Schizosaccharomyces pombe: one gene and its partner. The protein of the gene in region 1 purifies or fractionates together with the protein of each later gene. This does not show direct contact. Each region holds a gene or a part of one and is shown on either strand. Other genes may lie near its edges.

What was found.
Region 2: the proteins of ctl1 (region 1) and atg9 purify together in Schizosaccharomyces pombe (affinity purification with western blotting; one study listed by BioGRID). This does not show direct contact.

The regions. Positions count from the first base shown.
Region 1 is NC_003421.2:388,578-399,820, forward strand, and holds ctl1 (choline transmembrane transporter family protein), read right to left. Parts: upstream 5,689-11,243; 5' UTR 5,608-5,688; coding exon 5,595-5,607; intron 5,558-5,594; coding exon 4,498-5,557; intron 4,449-4,497; coding exon 3,909-4,448; intron 3,858-3,908; coding exon 3,746-3,857; 3' UTR 3,445-3,745; downstream 1-3,444. Other genes in the region: ggc1 (guanine nucleotide transporter), read right to left, coding at 125-641, 741-835, 957-1,247; proteasome regulatory subunit Rpn8, read left to right, coding at 2,170-2,220, 2,265-3,188; ubiquitin hydrolase Ubp16, read right to left, coding at 6,306-7,679; Clr6-associated factor 2 Laf2, read left to right, coding at 10,503-11,243. UniProt on the Schizosaccharomyces pombe protein: Required for the normal organization of the preautophagosomal structure (PAS) and for the correct subcellular location of atg9.
Region 2 is NC_003423.3:3,018,702-3,030,179, forward strand, and holds atg9 (autophagy-associated protein Atg9), read right to left. Parts: upstream 6,958-11,478; 5' UTR 6,921-6,957; coding exon 4,812-6,920; 3' UTR 4,642-4,811; downstream 1-4,641. Other genes in the region: gpt2 (UDP-N-acetylglucosamine--dolichyl-phosphate N-acetylglucosaminephosphotransferase), read left to right, coding at 1-883; zng1 (nucleotide-binding domain-containing protein CobW/HypB/UreG), read left to right, coding at 2,152-3,387; NatC N-acetyltransferase complex catalytic subunit Naa30, read left to right, coding at 3,732-3,847, 3,936-4,272; SPOM_SPBC15D4.08C (uncharacterized protein), read right to left, coding at 6,958-7,374; met3 (cystathionine gamma-synthase), read right to left, coding at 7,740-9,572; nuclear rim protein Amo1, read right to left, coding at 10,004-10,176, 10,237-11,478. UniProt on the Schizosaccharomyces pombe protein: Phospholipid scramblase involved in autophagy and cytoplasm to vacuole transport (Cvt) vesicle formation.

The DNA of each region.
Region 1 (11,243 bases):
ACAAAAACAAAAAGAACCAAAAAGTAAAGTCTTTCAAAAGATTACAACCCCAATGAATTATTTATATAGAAAAACAGAGCACACTCAACAATATTTCAACATTGAAATGAAGAAATAAAGCATATTATTTCAAAAGCTTATCAAAGAAGGGGATAAGGGTTTGAGCCATGGTAAATGAAAAAACAAGCTTAGGACCAGTTGTCAACAATTTGGGAGTCAACCCTTTAAAGAACGAGGTAGGTCCTTCGAATTTAAGCATATTTTTCAAAATAGTAAACCCGGATTGAGGGTTATCAAAATTCTTATTTTGAATACGAGTTTTAATAACATCGAGAGGGGCAGAGACAATCAAACTAGCAGAAGCACCAGCGATTGAGGTGAAAAAATTTTGAAAAAAAGTGGCTTGAGAGTAATCCTTTAGTTTAAATATGTACTCCTTAGCAAAAGCGTTACCACCAAAGAGTGCAAAAGAACCTGGGGCATTGCGGGCGGCAGTCCATCCCCATCCACGATACAACGCAAATTTCTCATCAGCGAGAATTCTGAAAACACCGCGACCTTTAAAAGCTGCAGGATTGGTTTGGCGCTTAATTTTCAGGACGTCTAAGGGAAGGAGGAAGATCTCTCCAATTCCAACGATACTGAAAAGTTAGTAAGCTATACACATCTTGAATTCCCTTTTCAACAATCTTAAACATAAGCTTTCAGCTTAGTTAAACAAATATTCGACAGATACATACCTTCCAGCAGTAGCATGCATAATGGCTTTTCCAGATCCCTTTCCAAAAGTTTTATCAAAAGTATGTCTATAATTTTCATTCAAAAAGTCTTTTACCTGAACATGTTAGTAAAGATGAACGAGTATACTGAAGCCAACTGCGATACATTAATTCCGCCATCAAGGCTTGGAAAAAACGTACGCTTTAAACTACCAGTATAAGTACTCTACAACATACAATTGGTTGACCGCTATATTTATAAATACGTTGTACAATTTTGTAGCAAGCAGCATAGCCCAAACCAGGAAAAAGAGAGGTAGCCTTTTGGAGTAGAGGAGCAGAGGCAGCATCTCTGAAAATTACAGTGTTAAGTTGAGTTAAAGAAGTAATTTTTCCATGATTTGACATCAAACGCTTGGAAATTGTATCAACAGGATGAAAGAGTGAAAGTTCGAGAATTCCGGCAGATGCTGATCCCACAATTCGAGCGGTTTGCGACTCTTTGTTTTTCAACTGAACAGGAGCCATCTTTCTCTATCTATTTAAAAATTTAATTAATAACCAAAAAGTTTCGTTGTGTTGAAAAAGAAAAGTTAAAGGATTTTAGTGTAGTGAACTTTTATTGAAATTTTTTTCATTTTTTGATAAGAACTGATAGCCTTCGTTTTAGAGATAAGATGAAATATCGTTGTTCTCAAATAGTGATCTATGTTTTTCTGTTAATATTTTTAAACGTTTGAAATAATTCCAAAAACACAAATCCTATTAATGTAAGTTTGCAAAAAATCTCATGCATATGGCTTTGATGAAACGTGTGGACATACAAAATATCTGAATTCTAACTGTTTCAATTGCTTCAGACGAAAACTTTTAAGAACGTTCTTACTGAAAGTTTCTTTTACTTGTTTCATCGTAAATATAGTCATCGAACAGATATTTAATGAACTTTTGGAATGCGTCTCACGTGTATTTCGGTTTGATTAAGTAGTTAAAAGTGATATACTATGCTTCAAATCGAAATACCAGCATGTAATTTGATATGCAAAGTATTTCTTTAAAAAAAGAGCAGATGGTTTCAAGATATGTCTTCAATATTTAATGTCCATGTCTTTTCAGAATTTATTTGAGTAAATTACGTGCAATTACACGTTTAACATGATTTAAATGTATAGCTCTTCAATCCTTTCTACATATGAGAGGGAGTGTAATATAATTGCCATTTAGTAGCCTAATGGAATGATCATTGTTTAAAGCATTGTTATATTACAGCGCTTAATAGGTAGTTGGGCATTTGAAAGTATCGTAATATTTCTGTAATGAACTATGTCTTAACTTGCGGTAAGTAGGAAACCGCTGCAGCATGTGATGAGAGGTTACACGCTTTCAACCTTTCGTTTGCCATACACAGTTGAAGTTGTGAGAGACAAATTTTTAATATAAACCGGTTATAATGCCTCCTGCAGTGAGCTCTGAAACCTCTACAATCGTCCCACAGCAAGTTGTAAGTAGAAAATTTGAGAAACTTTTTTATTAACCATTGGTTAGATTGTGCATCCATTAGTACTTCTGTCAGCAGTAGATTCTTATAATCGATCTGCCAAGGGAACCAAAAGACGGGTCGTTGGTATTCTATTGGGTCAAAATAATGGCGACGTTGTAAACGTGGCCAATAGTTATGCTATACCATTTGAGGAAGATGAAAAGAATGCATCGGTTTGGTTTTTGGACCATAATTTTATGGAATCAATGAATGAAATGTTTAAAAAAATCAATGCAAATGAAAAATTAGTTGGCTGGTATCATACTGGACCACAACTCCGACCCTCTGATTTGGAAATCAACAACTTACTTAAAAAATACATACCCAATCCCGTTCTTGTCATTATCGATGTAAAGCCCAAATCAGTGGGTCTTCCGACTAATGCCTACTTTGCCATTGATGAAATTGAAGACGACGGCTCTAAGTCCAGCAGAACTTTTGTTCATCTACCCTCCAGTATAGAGGCAGAGGAAGCAGAGGAAATTGGTGTTGAACACTTGTTACGTGATACTCGTGATGCATCCGTTGGTACTTTAGCGACAAGAGTTACCCAGCAGGCACAATCTTTACAAGGCCTTGGGCAGCGTCTCACTGAAATCGCAGATTACTTAAGGAAAGTCGTGGATGGGCAACTACCTATAAATCATGCTATCCTTGCCGAGCTTCAGAGTGTGTTTAATCTTTTGCCTAACATTTTTAGCGGTCCTGTGGTTTCAGAACAGGCCTTGGAATCAGAGGCACAACGTGCTTTCAATGTGAATTCCAATGATCAGTTGATGTCCATTTATATTTCCAGCATCGTGAGGGCCGTGATTGCTCTTCATGATCTTTTGGATTCTTTGGCTGCTAGTAAAGCTATGGAACAGCAGGACATAAAGCCAACTGTTCAAAATGGAGAAGTTTCGGCTAATGCCGAACAAAAGGCTTAATCACTGTATTCATACTATCCATGTCTGGCTTCTATCATTTGTGGACTCCTCTTTCTGAGATTTAACGACTTTATCTAACGTAGGTTTTTTATTTCAATGTCTAAGTATCATAGAGTTTTTATTTATATCTTGTCTTTTCGCAGACAGTTTTGCAGATATTTGTAACCCTCTTAACTTGTAAAAGTTACACGTCGGGTTCGGGTTTATTTGCTTGTATGTTAAAAATGATATGTCTACGTTTGTTAAATTGTATTTACGAAGGATAAAAGTGTAATTTTAAGTTAGTACGAAGAAATTGCATACAAAATATCATATTTTAATTTACAGTGATATGATGGATAGCTTGAGAAAAAACTTTTCATGAAAAGAAATCCTAGCAAACGCCAAGGTGTCAATGTTAAAAAGTAGGCTGACATTATATTAATGAAGTAAAAGGGAATAGGGATACGCGTACAGGTGACCAGCATCTCTTTCTTTGAGCTCTTTGATGAAAGTAGGTTCTAAGGAAGTTAAAAGAAACAGAAAAACAGCAAAAGAAGTAATTCGCATTTTTGGTTTTAATATCCATTTGATTCAAAAAGCTGCCATGCCTCGAAACAGTGAGAACCATTAGGATCTCCTTGGCAGCTAGAAATATCGATAATAGAGCATATAAGTAACGCATCCACACTGTGAAAAAGTTAGTATTTTACGCGAGGATAACTAAATATAATTACTCACATCATGCTGAGGCCGCCCTCTATGGCGCCAATGATAAGCCAAGCAAGGAATCCGCCTAAAAGTCCTACAATGTAGCCATAAAAGACACCATTTTCATGAATGGAATAATTCCACGAAGTAACGCCAACTCCTATAGCGAGGAGGGAACGAGCGGCTAGCAAAGTGTATTTAGAAAAATAGTAGGAACGTCGGCGTAATCCTACTCGGTTCAATTGTTCGATTTGATACAAAGCCTTGGACGCATTCATGTACGGGACTGAGTAAATTGATGCGTATGCTAGGGTAAGAGGAGATGTGACATACGAAGCAGACGTCTTTGAAAACATATAATATACAATACGCGAAACGTGTCTTAGCCATGTGGGTAGGAAATGCAATGGTACTTTGGTGATAACAACTAAAAAGGAAGAAAAGGCACATAAACCATACTGATTGGAAACAACGTGATAGAAAAAGTGAGAAACTAAATTGGTTTTGGTAGCCGAAGACTTAGTATCACGATAAAAAAACCATTGAGAAACAATTGAAGAAATAATAGCGCTACAATTGTGTTAGTAAAAAATCCGGCCAAAGCAATATAATAACATACCATTGAAGAGCATGAAAAAATGTGCACAACCATAAGAAATGAAGTGAATAAAAGGAGGCCAAGACCCAAGAACTTCTCGGCAAAACCCATACAGAACCAACAAGGGTAGAACCGCGCAAAAATAAGCGGGCAAACAATCTTACCCATATAAAGATTAAAACATAAAACGAAAACAAGAAGCTGATGAATATTAAAGTGATTTGAGGAATATCAGCTATAACACGACAAGCAAGCCGAATAATATTAAAGGAAGTTTCAAAATGAATACGACGCCGCCAAACATAATATGAAAGCAGAATGGGTGCAACAAGCAAAATTATCCCAGTTAATAGCATCAACTTTGGTTGAATTGACGTTTCCAAGTGGATCCTAGACGCTTTTAACAAGTAGACAGCAAAAGCAAACATGGTCAATGGGACCGATGCTAGCAGGAAGTACAGAAAACGAGGAATTGCGACAAGACAGAAGAGCCATATAACTGAAAGCATCATACAAATAATCGCATCTTTATGAAATAATGGAAATGCTTTTTGTATTGCTGCGTAAGGAGAAGTGGCTGGAGGAATATTAGGATTTGTCCGCCAAACCATCAGGAAGCTATAGGTAAAGAGAGCCAACGTCAAAAATCCAAATGTTAATCCCCATTTTCGATCTGGAACCTTCTGTTCTGATGGAAGATGGGCATCATAAGGTAATTCCGTATATTCTTCATTTACGCTTTCATGAGATATAGTCTGTGGATTCGGTTGAACACCTAAATTTTCGGAGAAATTTCCATTGTAAATAGAATTCTCTTTAGAAAATAACTCGTTTTCGTTCCTTGAAATATGAGAGTTTGACTGCTCTTGTTCTCGTAATTGCCAATGGATAGACCCAGAATCTATCAAGGAGTTCAAACCATGCAAACTCGAAGACCCGGCGCTCAAATCAGTCTCATGACTATCAATTGAGCTATTTCTGTCTATGCTAACACTCTGAAGATTCGATCTTGAGGTAGGATATTTAAAATTGCGCTGGTCAACAGAAGAGAATCTTGATTGTGCAAGAAAACGCGAAGCATCTACTCGTTAGTGTAACTTTCTTCTATTACTACTTACAATCGCTAAACATAGATTTGCTTCACGTATATAAAATCACTTTACTAGTCAATTTGAAGGAGTTTTGGAAATTGGTCGTTGGGTGCAAAGGGTTACTCATTCCTCTCCATTGAAATCTATATGACGAAGATGGTAGCACTTTGTGGCACTAACAAATATATCCGTTAAGCTTAATTGGAAACCTTCTACTACTATGAATTTAATAACCGACCTCTACATTTGCAAAAATTGCAATTAAATGTTTTTGCTAATACGATTTACTGTCGTTATAATAGAATGGGTATCAAGTATGTTTACATTGAAAATAATGATCAATTTCTTCATAAAAACGATAAAGGAGAAGAAGATAACTTCAGGTACTTTAATAAAATGCAATGCCTACGGCTAAAGCCTAAGGAAGAATTACCCGGTTCCGTAGGAGATAAGCATTAAATCCGCTATAATTCAACAGAAGATATGTCAAAATAAAATTATCATTTTGACCAACGAACTGATTTAAAAGCTAAAAAGTTGCTCATTTCAGTCTTATGCAATGCAGCGGTTTAATTTACAAAATGATTTCTATAAAAAATCGCTGTTTCAAGATTAAAATGTTCTACGTGCAATAATATTATACCATCAACCTCTAAATAAGAGAGACATTAGCATATTAAAAAAAAAGATAGGCAAAAGGAAGCAAAAACTTTAACTGCTCAAGCTAACTGTATCGCATTAAAATGAAATTTTTCTCCGTTTTTTATTAGAAGTTTTGGTAACCGTGTTTTCGGTGTTTAGCTTGTGTTTAGACGATGAAGTTGATTTCCTCTTGTATTGCAAAATATAGGCCTGTTGATTCAAAACTCGATCAATACTGGAATTGGAAACGAAATCATCGTCAAATTTAAGCCAAACACCATTACTACTTTTGCAAAACGAATAATAATGGCCGCTTCGGGTACTTCCGCCTGCATGTACAAGAACCCCAATTAATTCGTACCAACAAGAACAATTGGGATCTGACATATACGGACCGAGATTGAATGATTCAGGGTATGAAATTTGCTTACTGATTTTGCTAGATTGGAAACCGTTGAATGTGAACCGCTTGAAGTGAATGGTTAAAATATTTGGTGCCCGATAAATAGTCATTTGCTTGGACGCATCCACCAGTTGCTTACAATTTTCACATCGATATTTGTTTTGTTTGGTAAGTTTTTCTGCATGCACAAAATGCTTTAAGGAATCTGCCAAGGAGGAGCCCTTCGCATCCACAGATAAGTCAAGTAAAGCTTGGTAGGTGTTGGAAGGTTTTTTACAAACTGAGCATAGAATCTGCTGGCGTAGGTAACCACCAAAAATTCTGTGTACTACCGAAGTCTCCCTGCTTGGATGATCAAGATTTTTATGGTTTTGAAGACAAGACTTTTGCCAAGCATCAACCAAATATCGCATAAATTCATGAGCATCTTCTTGGCGATATGGGCGGAAATGACTGGAAATTACTTTGAGCATACTTTGTATACCTGAAGGTTTGAAGGCCGAAGCTCGTTTGGTGCCTTTGTTGGGATAGGCACGGGCGACATGTTGCTCCATTCTACAGAGTACACATGCATTCATACGGCAGGATAAAGAATGTTGACCGGATAAAAGATATTGAACCAACGGTGGAGTTTGAGTCATCAACTGAAGTACTGAATTCATGAAACAAGTATTACCGAGATTTACGAGCCCCGGAGCATTGGGCATGATATTATCCCATTCCATCGACAATTTTTCTTCGGGAAATAGAATGCGAGCCGGAGGTATAAAAGCAGGATCCTCATCCACAAAATCATTAGCTCCATCACCCCTTGTTCCTGAAGATTTTTTGTATTCCTGGGAAGAAGAACCAGAACGTTTGTTTCTAGTTGGGGAAGTAGGCGCTGAAAATGACTTACGGCTAACAGTAGATTGCTTTGGATTGTTTAAGACAGTGTAAGTACCTTCAGGAACCGATGGTGAGGAAACAACCGCGGGACGAAAGCGAACGGGATTTTTAAGCAAATCATCTAGTGAATGCTTGACTGCAAAATCTAGTGACTGTCCTTGTAAAGTAGCAAGCGACATGTCAACAACGGAATGGAAAAACAACAAGCAATCAAAAATTTGAAATTATGAAGAAAAATGTTAGAAAAGAAGAAAAAAAAAAGCTATCTTTTAAAGCAAGAAACGTAGAAAAGAAGAGTGATGCTTTTCACAATTATCTTCAAGAGCTATTGTGAACGGAGTAAGCAGTTTGATGTAAACAATCAACAAAAACGAATGTAAACAAACTTATTCGTGAGTTGTCGAAAATAAAAACACCAAAAATAAAATAAAGCAAAAAAAAAGCGTTCAATGAGAAAATTTAAACTCACAAATTATTTTGAAATGACCAGCCACTATAGGTGTAGTAAATGAATTTAGAAAAAAATAATGCAAAGGTGGTAAAGCAGACGAAACCGTAGATAAAGTGATTAAAATTACTTTTAAATGAAAAGGATATAAAGTGATGCAAAAAATTCGGCGGGTAATTAGAAACGAGGATTTGACGTGTTTTCAAAAATTTGATAGAACGTAACAAAAAAACTATATAATAATAAACCAGGCAACTTTTGTGTGTTTCGAATATTTTTGAAAGTAATGTATAAATAAAAAATGGAAGTTATCCAGCTCTACGATTTAACACTCCATAGAACAAAAAAGAGGATAAAGAGACAACGACACGTGCTTTCGCGTTTTATATTTTTAAACGCGGAAAGCAATAAAAACAATCAACTTCTTAACAACTAAGGGAAAAGAACTCGCCAGAAAACTGGTAATACTACTGTAACGTAAACAAACGTCGTTACCCACGAAAGACAAAAAAGTCGGAAAAGGATATGGATATCTAATGTACGAAAACAACTTTATGGATCCAAAAGTAATATCTTCCTCAAGTCCTTCCCCAATTGTCTCGCCGGTACTGTGAAAAGGGAGAAATCGCTATTTTTTGAAAATTTTTCGTGTCGATAAAGTCGCGTTATTTTTCGTTATTTTTCGTTATCTTTCTCAGCGCATCAATCCAAACTGACCTTGAACTGTATTAATCTGACCTAACAATACTATGTACTGCAGTGTAATCTCGTTAAAGTAATTTAAGAAATTTCATTATGCAGACATAATGATGCGTTAGGCTGAAAACCGTCTAGTGGTATTGTTTAAAAAAGATGGCCGTGCTATTGAACTAAGAAGTTTAGTAGGACAGTAATGTTTTATTATATTATATTCTTTAGGTAAGTTAACTATAGCAATGAATCTTTATCACTAGAATCTGACTATGGGTGACTTATAGGTTATGGCGATAGGTAACGCAATTTAGTATCGTTTCCTTGGTCAAAACCTGAAATAAAGATCTGGGAACAAAGTCAAATATTGTTTAGCATGTAGTATATAAATATATTATTTAATCTTTATAATTATCATTATCTTCTTAGCTTACACTATGTTGTCACATTAATTTTTTTTATTTTTTTATTTTTTTGCGTTGACAGGTAGAATTCCCTTCAACGTGTAAATAAAACTACTATTTTCCATATGCAATTTCATTGATTTGAAAATATTTTCTAAAATCCTAACATCAATCGATTTATTGTTTATTGTTTTTTTTTTTGAAATCAATGTTATAGATTCTGAAACAGTCATTTTTTCCAAAAGGTTTTCAGACCTAATAATTAGAATATGAACACTAAATTGCTGTGAGTACTAATATAGTAAACTTTATTCCTTCAACTTTGGTATTTTATTTAATTTATCACTTTTTGGAAGCATTACTTCAACTAGAATTTTTATAATATGAACAAAGCGTTTGTCTGGATTGATTGTAAAAAATTGCAAAACGAACGAAAACACTCTACAGAATAGCACCAGTGTATTGTAATCGGGATTTAAAATTAGAAGTATTTCTGAATTATCTGGTCCATTTTAAATAAATTATCGCACGTTTTCGCTAAGAGTAAGCATAAAGGTGTAACAATATTCACATCCATTGAGTTAACAAATTCATTGTTTATTTTTTATTTTTAATGCTTGGTTAAATTACATTTTAATTTTAATTTTTTAAACGGAACTAAATATCTATTTGGAGTCTATTATACTGAAATTGAAATGGATTATTTACTCGAATACCTTGTAAACAATTGGTGTTCTTGTTATTTACACAATTCCACAAAAGTAAGGATAATTTACTGCATCTTAATTTTAGTATCCTCATTATGCTAAATCAATTAGACAATCCAAAAACCACATGCAGTGAACGAATAGTATTTTATAGCTGTATTTTTTGATCGTCAAGTATTGCAAAGCGACATCTCACTATAAAACAATTTCGATTTGAAAAAATGCTATCTGCATAAGATATTCTATAGCCAAATGAAATAATATCCGCTGGTCATAAAGGTTAAGTTTGAAGAAATGCAATTCCCAAGTACTAGGTACTTGAAGTATATGTTTACAATTCGATTAGGTACATATTTAAACTGTACCGTTTAAAATTGCATAAAAACATTGAATCAAACTTTTTTTATTTTTTTGTTTAAAATTTTTGCCTATCTATAATTAGCAAGATGTGATACAATTGTGATATTTAGTCTTGCAAAAATACTCATCATGGATCGTATTTTCAATAGAAACCTAACAAAGTGTTTTGAGAATGTTTTGTTTTATAATAATAGAAAGCATGCAAAAACACTTGTACCTTCTGCTAAACAAGTTTTCTTTGAATACGAATCGAAAACATTGCTTTCTACAACGGAGAGTAACAAAGTGACAACGAAACCCTAGTCCACCGAAAAGTTGTCTTCTGCAAAGCACAGAAATTACCCATTGAGGTTTCTTCCGCGGTCAATTGTATTGAGAAATCGAATTTCAAAGATGCAAATTTTAAAAGATCAGGAGAACTTAAATCCCGATGGAGGTAGCTTTGTTTTAATTACACCGCCATTGTCTCCTCCTAAACAGAAATCTTTATCATATACAAATATTTCGAGGAGACATGGCATGCGAGCTTGCATGAAAGGAATTGTTTACGAAGTTTACAAAAATCAACCGAAACTTTGGTTGCAGCAAGAATTAATATGGTTGCGTCGTAAACGGATTCATCCAATTCCTAAAGCTCGTCGTAATAATCATGTAGGTCGATGGGCTAACAGGCATTCCAATGTCTCTTCATCTTCTGGCTCTCGCGGACGCAGTAGTGTCTCTTCTCGAGACTCGTCACCAAGTTACAGCGGTGCTCTCCGGTCTGCTGAAAGAAGCATCTCTTCTAGTCCTTCCACTATTGAGGCCCGTAGAAGAAAATCGGCTCGTGGAAATGGGCTTAATGGTGCCATCGATGTTGCCAACCTTCCCTTTGAAGAGTTGCCGAATTTCTGTCCTGACATGTCTGTACTGGACAACCGTACGCATCCTCGTACACTAAAAGCTGAGTGGAAAGGTCCGCCTTTGGACCTTAGTGATGACCCTTATCGCGATCTCTTGCACCCTGCTGAATTACATTTGGCTTCGACTCTTCGTCTTCCATGTTTGATTTATCTTGATAACAAAAAAAGAATATTTGCGGAATGGCATCATCGTCGTCAACAAGGACTTACTTTTCGAAAAACTGATGCTCAA
Region 2 (11,478 bases), on another chromosome or scaffold:
TAAATTCTTTTTACCAGCAATTGCCGCTATCCCATTGTTGGTTGTTTACTACGTTGACTATGGAGTTACTTATGTGTCCGTTCCTAGCATTGTAAGACCATTTTTAAAGAGATCTCTTATCAACTTGGGTTTTCTTTATTACTTTTATATGGCTGCGGTTGCGATTTTTTGTCCAAACAGTATTAACATTATTGCTGGAGTAAATGGTGTTGAGGCAGGCCAATCGCTTGTTCTTGCTCTTGTTATTGCTTGCAATGATTTGTTTTATGTACTCTCTCCCAAAAATAAGGATGCATTAAGAGCTCATCTCCTTTCCCTTTATCTAGTCTTGCCTCTTATAGGTGTCACTGCTGGGCTTCTAAAATACAATTGGTGGCCTTCGCGAGTGTTTGTAGGTGATACGTTTTGCTATTTTGCAGGAATGGTAATGGCAGTTGTTGGAATTTTAGGTCATTTCTCTAAGACACTTATGCTCTTTTTTATCCCTCAAATTTTCAATTTTGCGCTTTCCGTTCCACAGCTTTTTGGATTGGTTGAATGTCCCCGTCATCGACTTCCTAAACTAAATGTGAAAACTGGATTGTTGGAAAACTCCTACACAGAATTCTCTCTAAACGAGCATCCTTTACCTAAAAAGACTTTGCTGACTATTTCTATTTTTGAAAAATTACGATTGATTCGGGTTGAGTACGATCCTAGCACCGGGCGCCCGCTCAGGTGTACGAACTTTACAATTATTAATTTTGTTTTGTATCATCTGGGCCCAATGAGGGAAGACCATTTAACAATATGTATAATGGGATTGCAATTACTTACCGGAATATTCGGTTTAATTATCAGGCATTTTGTCGCTCCTTTAGTGTATCCTGAAGATAACATATAATTCACATTCCACATGTTTTGGACCAAAAATGAGCATCTATGGAAGTCCGGTTTTTTCTATTTTTTTTTATTTTTCTAACTGAAAATTGGAAAATAGTTAATTATTATGACTTCTTCTTTCATTTCTTTTGTACGTTGTGTACAGACTGTACTGAATTTGTTTCCGATGTTTGTCCACATATTTGAATACCAAAAATTCATTCAGATGAGATTAGTTAAACACAACTTTCTTTAAGTCTTTGGTAACCTGTCATTTTACACTAATTTTATCTATAAAATAATAAAATAAAATACAAGAGTTTACAAGAACTTGCCAAAGTCATCTGAAAATAGCATTGATTAGACATTACGAAAATACTCAGTTAAGAAACTAATACATCGTGTTAACTATTCATGGCTTGAAAGCAACGAAATCATTTCCTATTATGAAATTTTGGAGATTTATATAATTACAAATCGCTGAACGATTTCACTAATCAGCAAAATTTAACGATTTAAATATCATTTTTGTTAAATAATTATACTGTACTTCTTTATTGCATGTAAGAATGTGACTACTTTCGTGACTGCTTCGTTCCGCGTCGTTACTATAAATATGGGTGCTTACACTTACGGTTCTTTACTTACCTGGCATGAGTTTCTGCAGCACAAGAATTGTGGAGACTCAGTTATTTGTCTTGGCATTGCACTGAGCCCTGACGAATAACTGTGGACTGGCTAAGGTCAGCTCCGGATGCATCATTTTTGAGTTCGTCCCTCATTTGGGGCAATTTTACTAATTAAGGCGATATGGTTGCCTTAAATAGTAAAGTTATCCGAAATGGATTATGTAAAGTAACATTTTCTTTCATCATATATAATTGTAAATTATTGTATCATAATTAATATTTCGCAATAATATGTTTAAAGATTCTATTGCCTATATGTAGTTTTAATAAATTACTTGCTATGTTTATTATTATTTTGCTCTGATGTCTTGCTTTTGCTATAAAGTCATTTCATGTAAAATTCGTTGTATAAGTAATTTATCACACTATTCATTCGTAGCTGCTGACAATTTTCGCTATAAAACCATGTCAGTGTTATACGAAATGACTGCATATAGTGCAAACACAGTGTTGTGCTAATTTCATACTAAAAAAATTCATTATTAACACTTTTCGAAAGTATTTACCTGTGAGACCTAAATTGAGGCTTTTAGAAGTATTTCTCAAAGTATTCAACTCGAAAAGATTAATTATATGACCATTATTTAAAAAAGGTGTAAGAATGGACTTTGAAATTGAAAACGAGTCGGAAATTCCACAGCTGGTTGACGTTGAAGAGGTTAACACACAACCGCATTCGGAAACATTAAGCGTACCTACGGTTTCGTCCAATAATGATATTGATTCATTTGAGCAGCAATCAGATTTTCTTCTAGTTGATCATGACTCTACCTTGGACCCAGTCCCTGTCACAATACTGACGGGCTTTTTGGGTGCCGGTAAAACTTCTTTGCTACGGTCAATTCTTGAAAATCGAAATGGTAAAAGGGTTGCTGTATTAATGAATGAGGTGGGTGATTCGGGAGACCTTGAAAGGAGCTTAATGGAGGATGTTGGAGGAGAAGAACTTTATGAAGAGTGGGTGGCTCTTTCAAATGGGTGCATGTGTTGCACTGTGAAAGACAATGGGATTAAAGCTTTGGAAAAAATTATGAGGCAAAAGGGGAGATTTGATAACATTGTAATTGAAACAACGGGTATAGCCAATCCTGGTCCTCTTGCTCAAACATTTTGGTTGGACGACGCGTTGAAAAGCGATGTCAAGTTAGATGGCATCGTTACTGTTATTGATTGTAAAAATATAGATAATATCTTAAAGGATGAAAGTGATATTGGTTTTATTCAAATTTCACATGCTGATTGTTTGATCTTAAACAAAACAGATCTTATTTCTTCTGAAGCATTATCTGTGGTACGTCAAACTATATTGAAGATCAATTGCTTAGCGAAGATTATTGAAACAACATATGGACGGTTGGATGACATTTCTGAAATTTTGGACTTGGATGCATACGGCAACGAAAATACTTCTAATCTTGAGTGGTCGATTCAAAGGAGCAATGATAGCAATATTAATTGTTCTACTTGTTTGGACGTGGATTGCCAACATTTGCATTCTCTCGATACGCATAGCCTTGATATCTCAACTCATACTTTTAAACTGCCCCCACTAATGTCGAAAGAGGTTTTTCAGCAATTTCTACAATGGGTTCGTCATACACTTTGGTCTTGTTTGGAGGAAGGGGAAGACGAGGAGTTTATGATTTATCGAAGTAAAGGAATTTTTAATAAAGACGATGGCTCTTGGTACATCTTTCAGGGTGTTCGCGAAGTATTCGAAATTATGCCGCTGTCGGAGAAGCCTCGAGCATTTTTAGAAAAGGATATCCATCCCGAAATTATCCTAATTGGGCGTAATCTACATCGAATATCTCCTTTCGTCGTCGGAAACCAATAATGGCAGTTATTTTATATTTCATTTTAATAATGTATATTGATATATGTTTGTTGAATTAATTTTAAATGTACGCAATAAAAAGCTTTTATACTAAATTATTTTATATAACACTCAATATTATAAATGTCATATCATTGACATAGATGTAACAAATCCAAGCAAAAAAGCCAAATTATAAACTTAATTTATACTGGCCTACTCGTTTATTCATTGTTTATAATACTCAGTTTAAGAACCGCATATAACGTTTTAACGCTATATCTGTAATTTCGACATTCGTCTTAAAGCTGTTGATATATACAGCTCTGCAACCGTTACAGACCCTAAATTATATCTAGAAGAGAATGGTGACAATTGTCCCATACAGTCACCAATATTTAAAAGATATATGTCAGCTTATTCAAAAAGATTTGAGTGAGCCATATAGTAAATATGTGTATCGTTATTTTGTGCACCAATGGTATGTTCCCATTTCATTGATTTCTCAAACTGCTTCTTGCATATTATGAAACTCGGCAATATCATTATAGTTTACTGACAGATTAAAGGCCAGAATTCAGTTTTGTTGCTTTAGATAATGATCGATTTATTGGAGCTGTAATATGCAAACAAGATGTTCATAGAGGGACGACGCTTAGAGGTTATATAGCAATGCTGGCCATAGTAAAAGAATACAGGGGACAAGGAATCGCTACTAAATTGACTCAAGCTAGTCTGGATGTAATGAAAAATAGAGGTGCCCAGGAAATTGTTTTGGAAACAGAGGTGGATAATGAGGCAGCCATGTCTTTTTATGAAAGACTCGGGTTTTGTCGCTATAAACGTCTTTATCGTTATTATTTGAACGGCACTGATGCATTTCGATACATCTTGTACCCGAATTGAAAAACAATGCTACAAAATAAAATCGCGGCATTTTCTATGCTCTAAGAAAATTTGTTTCCACTTGTCGCAGTATAAGTGAAAGTTTTAAAGTTGTTCCAATCTATTTATTTTTTTTTATTTTTTTTCTTCTACTGATTAATACCATAAGTAATTGTCATTAGTCGTCACTGTAGCGTAACTCCGTAATTATAACTGTAATAAACAGTGTTTACATTGATTCAAAGAAATTGTACGGATGTTCATAAAAATAATATCATTCCATTAAATGTAAACTTCATTAATAGTAAAACATAAAGTCTACAGCTGAATAAATAAAGAAGCTTCAACGTAAACTGCTAACTCTCCAAACAAACAATCACCATTCATTAAAAGAAATTAGTAAAAATACAATCATTACATGCATTAGTGGCTCAAATTGCCTTGCTAGCAAATTGTTAACACTTCTTATAAACATTGTCCTTCATTTTGTATGACAGAAAAATAAACCATTAAGCCATTGAGACTTGCTTGGTTGTTTCAAGAACTGACTCTCAATTTCATTAACGAAGATCCCTTCTAGGTGCTTCCGTATTAAATTGTTCGTAAAAGCTGATGCGAGAAAGTTCTGGTTTATTTTGAATTAGAGGGCTTATTTTACGTGATTGTACCAAAGAAGCGACAGACTCATAAGGCGGGTTGTCCTGGAAAACAGCGTAACTACAGACGTACCCAACGCCTTCAACGTTTATAGTATGTTCTCTGAAGAAATCCACAATATCTTGACTGCAGGAAGGAAAAGTGAAAAACAACAATACGGGTGTCAGCAAAATTCCAAGAATCTCCCAAAGAAGATTAACTATGCGATATGAATATAGAGAACAGAACTCTTGTTGAACAGCTTTACTATGCATGTTATCAGACCACCATCCTGGCATGTAATGTGTAAAAGTGATTACGCGCCTTAAAGCTTTTTCCGGAGCAAAAACCAAAGTTTCATCAGGTATTATTGAGCGCGAAACTGCTATAAGAGATCCGAAAAGACCAAGATAAAAAAGTACAGATCGATCTTTAGTTATTTCAAAAGTTACCATTAATTCAGGATCAAAAACTGTGATTATTACTAAAATCGCAGTAAAACTTCCTAAAATAAATGATATGTATTTGAATAACCTAATCATGTTAAAGTCAGGGAACTGAGATACATAATGAGATGCGGCCGCATAGCTATCATTAATGCGTTCATCAAAAAAATGTTGTAACTCATTGTATTCACGAAAAGTCCATAAAGCTAATGGAGTGTATCTTCTTGTACTCAACGCGCCTGGATTTTTATGATATTCATTAAAATAGCGGAAGAAATTGTGAATTACTAAGTAAATTGCAACGATTGGCGCAAAAAGGCAATTGAGGAAACCAGCGACGATGAATCGACGACGTAATTCTTCAGAAAGCCTTTTCCGGGAGTTAGGATTTCGAAAAGCACTACGAAGCTGACCTTGCTCATCGAAAACGAAATTGAATATGCACCAATTTATGTTCCATTCCGTGGTATGTGTGAGTATTCTCCTGTGCAAGAGAGGAAGCTCAATATTAATTATTCCATTATTTATCAGTGCAATGAAGTAATTGTCTTTTCTCATTATACGATTTGCAATTGCATAAGCATCCAGGCGTTTCATGTTATGAAGAGACACTACCCTTCCATCCTCAGCAGTAAGAGCATTTACATTCTTTAATTTCAATAAACGATATAAAACCCTTTGCCAAGATACTGTTGGCATATCTGCGGTAGCAATTTTTAAGGCATGAATATAAAACTCACGCATTTGCCATAACCTTGGAATATCAGTAAGATAATATATCCAAAGTGCCAAAAGAAAACTTAAAAAAAGCCACAAAACAAGATACGTTATTGGCGACATTTGTGCAATGCATTGAGACTTTGTGACACCAGCCAGTGAACCATGGGGTGTCACAGCAGGCCAATCTATGCAACTAGTTATGAATGTGGTAAAACCAATAACAAATGAAACTGTCAAAATTTGAAATAGTCGGTGAACAATTATACAAGACAATCCTTTACCAGTGTAGTAAGTATAAACTTGCTGAAGAAAGCTATCCAAATTTTCTACGTTTGCCCATCTCCAAAGAACCCGATCCCGGGCACTTAAACGATTCCAAAGAACGCGAGCGTTGGAAAATTCGTTACGAGGAAGCTGAGTATAAATAGATCGATTAGGATGTCCAGAGCGAGTGACATCTTCATTATAAAAATGGGGATCGTTAAAATTGGGGAGTGCTGGTTTTTGCTTTGAACCATTTTGCAGGTTCCTCAGAGAAGTAGTTTCAGGAAAGGAAGGACTGGGGTGTTTCGAGGGTACTTTTGAAGAATTTCCATGAACAGATGGAGGCTCGTCTGAGTCCAGAAGCTTTCCAGAATACAGCAAATCCGTTGGATTATTCTTTCTTGGAACGCTTTTTACGAAATCGTCATGTTCAGATATTGTAAAGCCGTTGGATTCCTCAAGTGGCGAAGACTCGTCCTCATCACTGTCTAAAGACTCTTGCCATGCCTCTAAAACTTCTTGGGTATTAGGAACATTATTTTGAGCTTCTATATCAGCAAGATCGTCATATTGCTTTTTGTTTTGAGCCGGCTGATAAAACATGATCGCAATTCCACTCAAATTGGCATATGGGTTTTTCTCATGAATCTTTATTATTTTTGCTTAATTCAGAGACCTTTTTTTCTAGTTCTTGTATCCGAAGTAATGCTTTTTGATGACTATCTTTAAGTTTATCTAAGTTGGTCTGTAGCTGAGTTAACACGCTTGTGAGCAGGTGACATGAAGTTTGAATCAACTCGTTGCTTGAAACTGGATCTTCAAGCTCTGAGTCTGTAAGGCGAACAGTACTGTCATCTTCTTCTGGAATTGTTTCTTCGTCGTTAGTTAATCTTGGACGTTTCTGAGAGTGTTTGAGTTCGTCATGAACCTGATCAATCGGACTAGAGGGTGACGCCAAATATGAGTGTTCAAACATCAGCGAGGGGTACTCTGAAAGCATTTCTGGTTCATGCCTCCGATTTACAGATGGAGGAGTTGAAGGAGCCGATTCGGGCATTATGATTTTGGTTTGCACCAAAAGAATTTCTAGCGCGCGCACTTTATTACTGAGCGTTGAGAACAAAGTAGCATACCCCAAGCGAACGTATTGTACCTCGTTGCATCTGTTCCCGAAGTAAACATTTAGACAATGAACTTCCTAAAATATTTCTCACATTCGAAATAGCTAGAAAAACATATCTTTACTACATTTTCCTATCACATCAGGCATATATTTTCTATTTTGTTTAAATATATTTAAGGTAATACCAAAAAGAAAAAACAACAATTTCAAGAATAACTATGACAGTTTCATCTATAACTATAGTTATATGATTGGGTTTTTAAAAAATATCTATTATTTGAAAACAGTTTAGATACAAGTTATGAAAGAGCATTTATAAAAACATTTTTCAGGTGTTCGCTGGGTTCCATTCCAACGCTGACACGAACAAGGTTTCTATCTATGCCATTCTCACCAGCCCAATCCAACTCTTGGTAGTGAGCTAAAATTGCATAGGGAGAAGCCAACGTAAAATTTGTACCAAGTGAGGGACCTTTTGCTACTTGGATTTTGTCGTAAAATTGGCGCGCATCTTCAGGATTGTGGAAAACGACAGACAAAAGACCACCATAACCTCCATTTTCTCTCCGGCAAGCTTCAAAATGCTCTTTTGATGTATTGTATTTGGGATAGTATAGAGTTTTAATTTTAGGGTTTTGATAAAGCAAATTACAAATTGTTTCCGCGTTATGGTTTATCACTTGTGAACGTTCAGCAAAATCTCTGCTATTTCTTTCTAATGTCAAAGCATCCTCATCATATAATAAGTCTTCATAAAGAGCCTTCATAGCATCTTTTATTCGAGAGTAGTAACGACTTGACGGATTTAAAACCATACTACCTCCCATTACATTACTATCACCGCTAAAAATCTTTGTGAGGCTGCTGACAACTACATCTGCTAATGGTAAAACCTCAACGTTGACAAAATTTCCAATTGTTTCATCAACCACGACAGCAAAATCATAACTGTCTGCTAATTTCCGAATACGAACCAAATCGGGAGAGTTTAAAAGAGGATTTGATGGAAACTCACAAAACAATGCCATAACTTTCTCTCCACTTTCTAACCGTTTCTCAAACTCATCAAGTTGCTCGTCATTACCTAGTCCATAAAAGTAGCAGCCAGATCCCCATTTCTGTAAAATTTTTAAGGTATCAACATAACAAAAACCAAAACAAACACTTTTACGGCTATCATCAAGCACCAACCTTAATATGCGATGAGTATTGTAAATAGCACTCATGCCAGTAGGAAATAAAAAAACATCGTCGTGACTTAAACCTTTAACTTCACGTAAATACTGAGACCCTTCTTTGGGTAAAGCCTTTTGCAAATCAACTTCATCTTTTAAGGTACCAGCGATACGTCGTCGAAGAACAAGTTTAGCTGCTGTAGCCAAACTTAAATCTAAATTACGCCCATATCTCTCCTCCAAATATAGGGATACGTCTTCCATTTCATCATTAGCTTGGTTTCCTTCGTTAGTCATCCAAGTATTCAAAGCCTGTAGATCTGGATGGGAAGCATATCGGCTTCTGCTTTTACTTTTGAGATGAGAAATAGACCTCTGGGCAACCAAAAATTCGGAAATAGACTGAATTTTTTTGTAGGAATGCAGAAAAGCAGCTGCGCGTCTGCTTGAAATACCGTCCCCCGTATGTTGCCAGAATTGCTTGGCAATCCCAAAGTATTTGGATGGAAACAATACAGAATAAACCTGAGGTATGTGTATTTCTTCAGTATATTTGCGATTTCGGTCAATTGAATCAAGATGTTTTCGCAGTCCCTTCGTGGCATCATAAATAATGACTTCCGCAGAGTCTATAGGTCCTTTACTTTCAAGAAAAGCTGCACTTTGCTTAGCAACGGATAATGAAGGATACAAAAACATATCGTAGTCCTTTAGCTTCAAAATCTCAATCTCTGGAAATTTCTTTATGATGCTAATGCAATCCTTGACGTGTGCGCTTATAAAGAACCTCGGATATCCTGACTTCATTTTAGTAGTTACATTAGGATCTCCCTCTTCATATCCAACATTGGATTTCCATGTAGGTAAAGTAACTGAAATGGCATGTTCAGTATCAGCTGGAATTGATGAACCGACCTCTGTAGGTGGATTGACTAGGTAAGAAATATTTGCAGACATTTAAAGAATTAAATAAAATTGAGATTTATATATAAATAGCCATAAACAAAAGTTTTGGGTTCTTGCAAAAATCTGGAGTGAATTGTGTGTGGAATTGGGACAACCATCTCTTTAGACCCAATAGGCGTGCAGGACAGTTCTGTCCTCTATATCAAATCAGCTATCAGTTTGATTCATGAATTAATAACAAAAAATAGTACTGTTTTCTTTCTAGAATTTTACAATGATACATAAATCGAGTTAGGTACAACTTTATCAGATAGCCGTGTAGGAAAGCATCACACTTTGTCTAATACTCGTAATTGAAATTACATATATATATATATATATATATTTACAACCTAATATCGAATATGAAATTTGAACAAAGTTTAATACTAATCAAAAATCCCCGAAAAAACTTACGTTGAATAACTATTTTAATAAAATAATTAACAAAATTGTGGTGGAGGGGCTGTTGTTGGAACTTTTCCGGGAATGAAATCTTGAGCTTCAAATTGCTGAATCATTTCTGGGGGAAATGCGAGATTTTGATTGGAATTACTCATTTCTACTTGATCATCCAAAGTTTGGATAGAAGAAGCACCTATTGGATTAATCGGACCTGTCGATGATCGTTAGTCATATTCGTATACTAGCAAGGATACAAAGTAAAAAAACTTACCGTCAATTGTGTTAGAAGATCCAAACATAGGAGTTTGGATTATATTTTTGTTAGCAGGATTATCGTTAGAAAATCCTGAAGCGGATATTTTAGAGGTTACATTGGCAAATGGAGATTCAAAAGTAGTATTAGGCGGAACAAAAGGGCCTTGAGGTTGTTGCATAAAAGTAGCAGGGGGCTGAACAGTAAAACCATTTGGGTTCACTGGTTGTGTTAAAGATGTATGACCAAAAACTGGTTGTGAATTATTAGGAAGCGAGAATTGAGTATTCAAATTTTGAAAAGCTGATTGCTGAGGCTGATTCTGTATTCCAAAACCGCTGGCAACAGTAGGACCGAAAATCGAACTTGGATCATTCACATTTTGACTTTGTGAAAACCCAGAAGCAACTTGTGAAAACGAGGAGAATGATGAGTTAGGAATCCCTTGTCCGGAATTAACAAATGACGAATTTGGCTGAGATATTCCCCCAAATGCTGATGGCCCTGAGGTTGCCGAACCAAAACTAGACGAACCAAAAGAAGATGGGTTGTTTTGGACTGGATTACTTCCCGTAAATGAATTTGAGGATGTATTTTGAGAAAATGGAGACGCATTTAATTGCGATGTAAATGCAGAAGTCGTAGGGGCGCCAAAAATATCGTTTGCTTGCTGATTGTTATTGAAAGAATTATTGTTATTTGAAAAAGAATTGAAAGGACTATTTTGAGTTGGCTTGTTGAACTGATTAGACGTAACCGTTGAATTGCTAGTAGACTTATCAAAAATTGACTTATAATTTGTCTTTCCGACGAGTTTATTTCTCATTTCATCGAAAGCAGCAGCAGGCGACCGTTTAACGGCTGCTGCTTTTGCTTCTACATCATCCATCAACTGTTTCTGGCGTTGTTCATATGCTTGCATATTGTTTGTCGCTTTAGCCTGATATGCCCACCACCGCAATTCTTCAGGCGAAACATCGCCTTCATAAATTGATGGTAGATTCTCAACTACTGAATAACCTGTAAAAGGCCATTGTGGTTTTGCGTTTTTAAGATCGTCGTTAATATCCTTCATTCTTCTATTGGGAAGCAAATTATCTAAATCGCTTCTCTTCAAACGCCTTTGTACCCATATTGGAGGTCGTCCATTCTCTGGACGAAAGACATTAACCTTAGAAAATGCATTTTGTCCATTAGAAGGTACCGTATGTTGATTTTTACAATTGGTACCATACCTGCACCGATTTTGAAGGAAATACT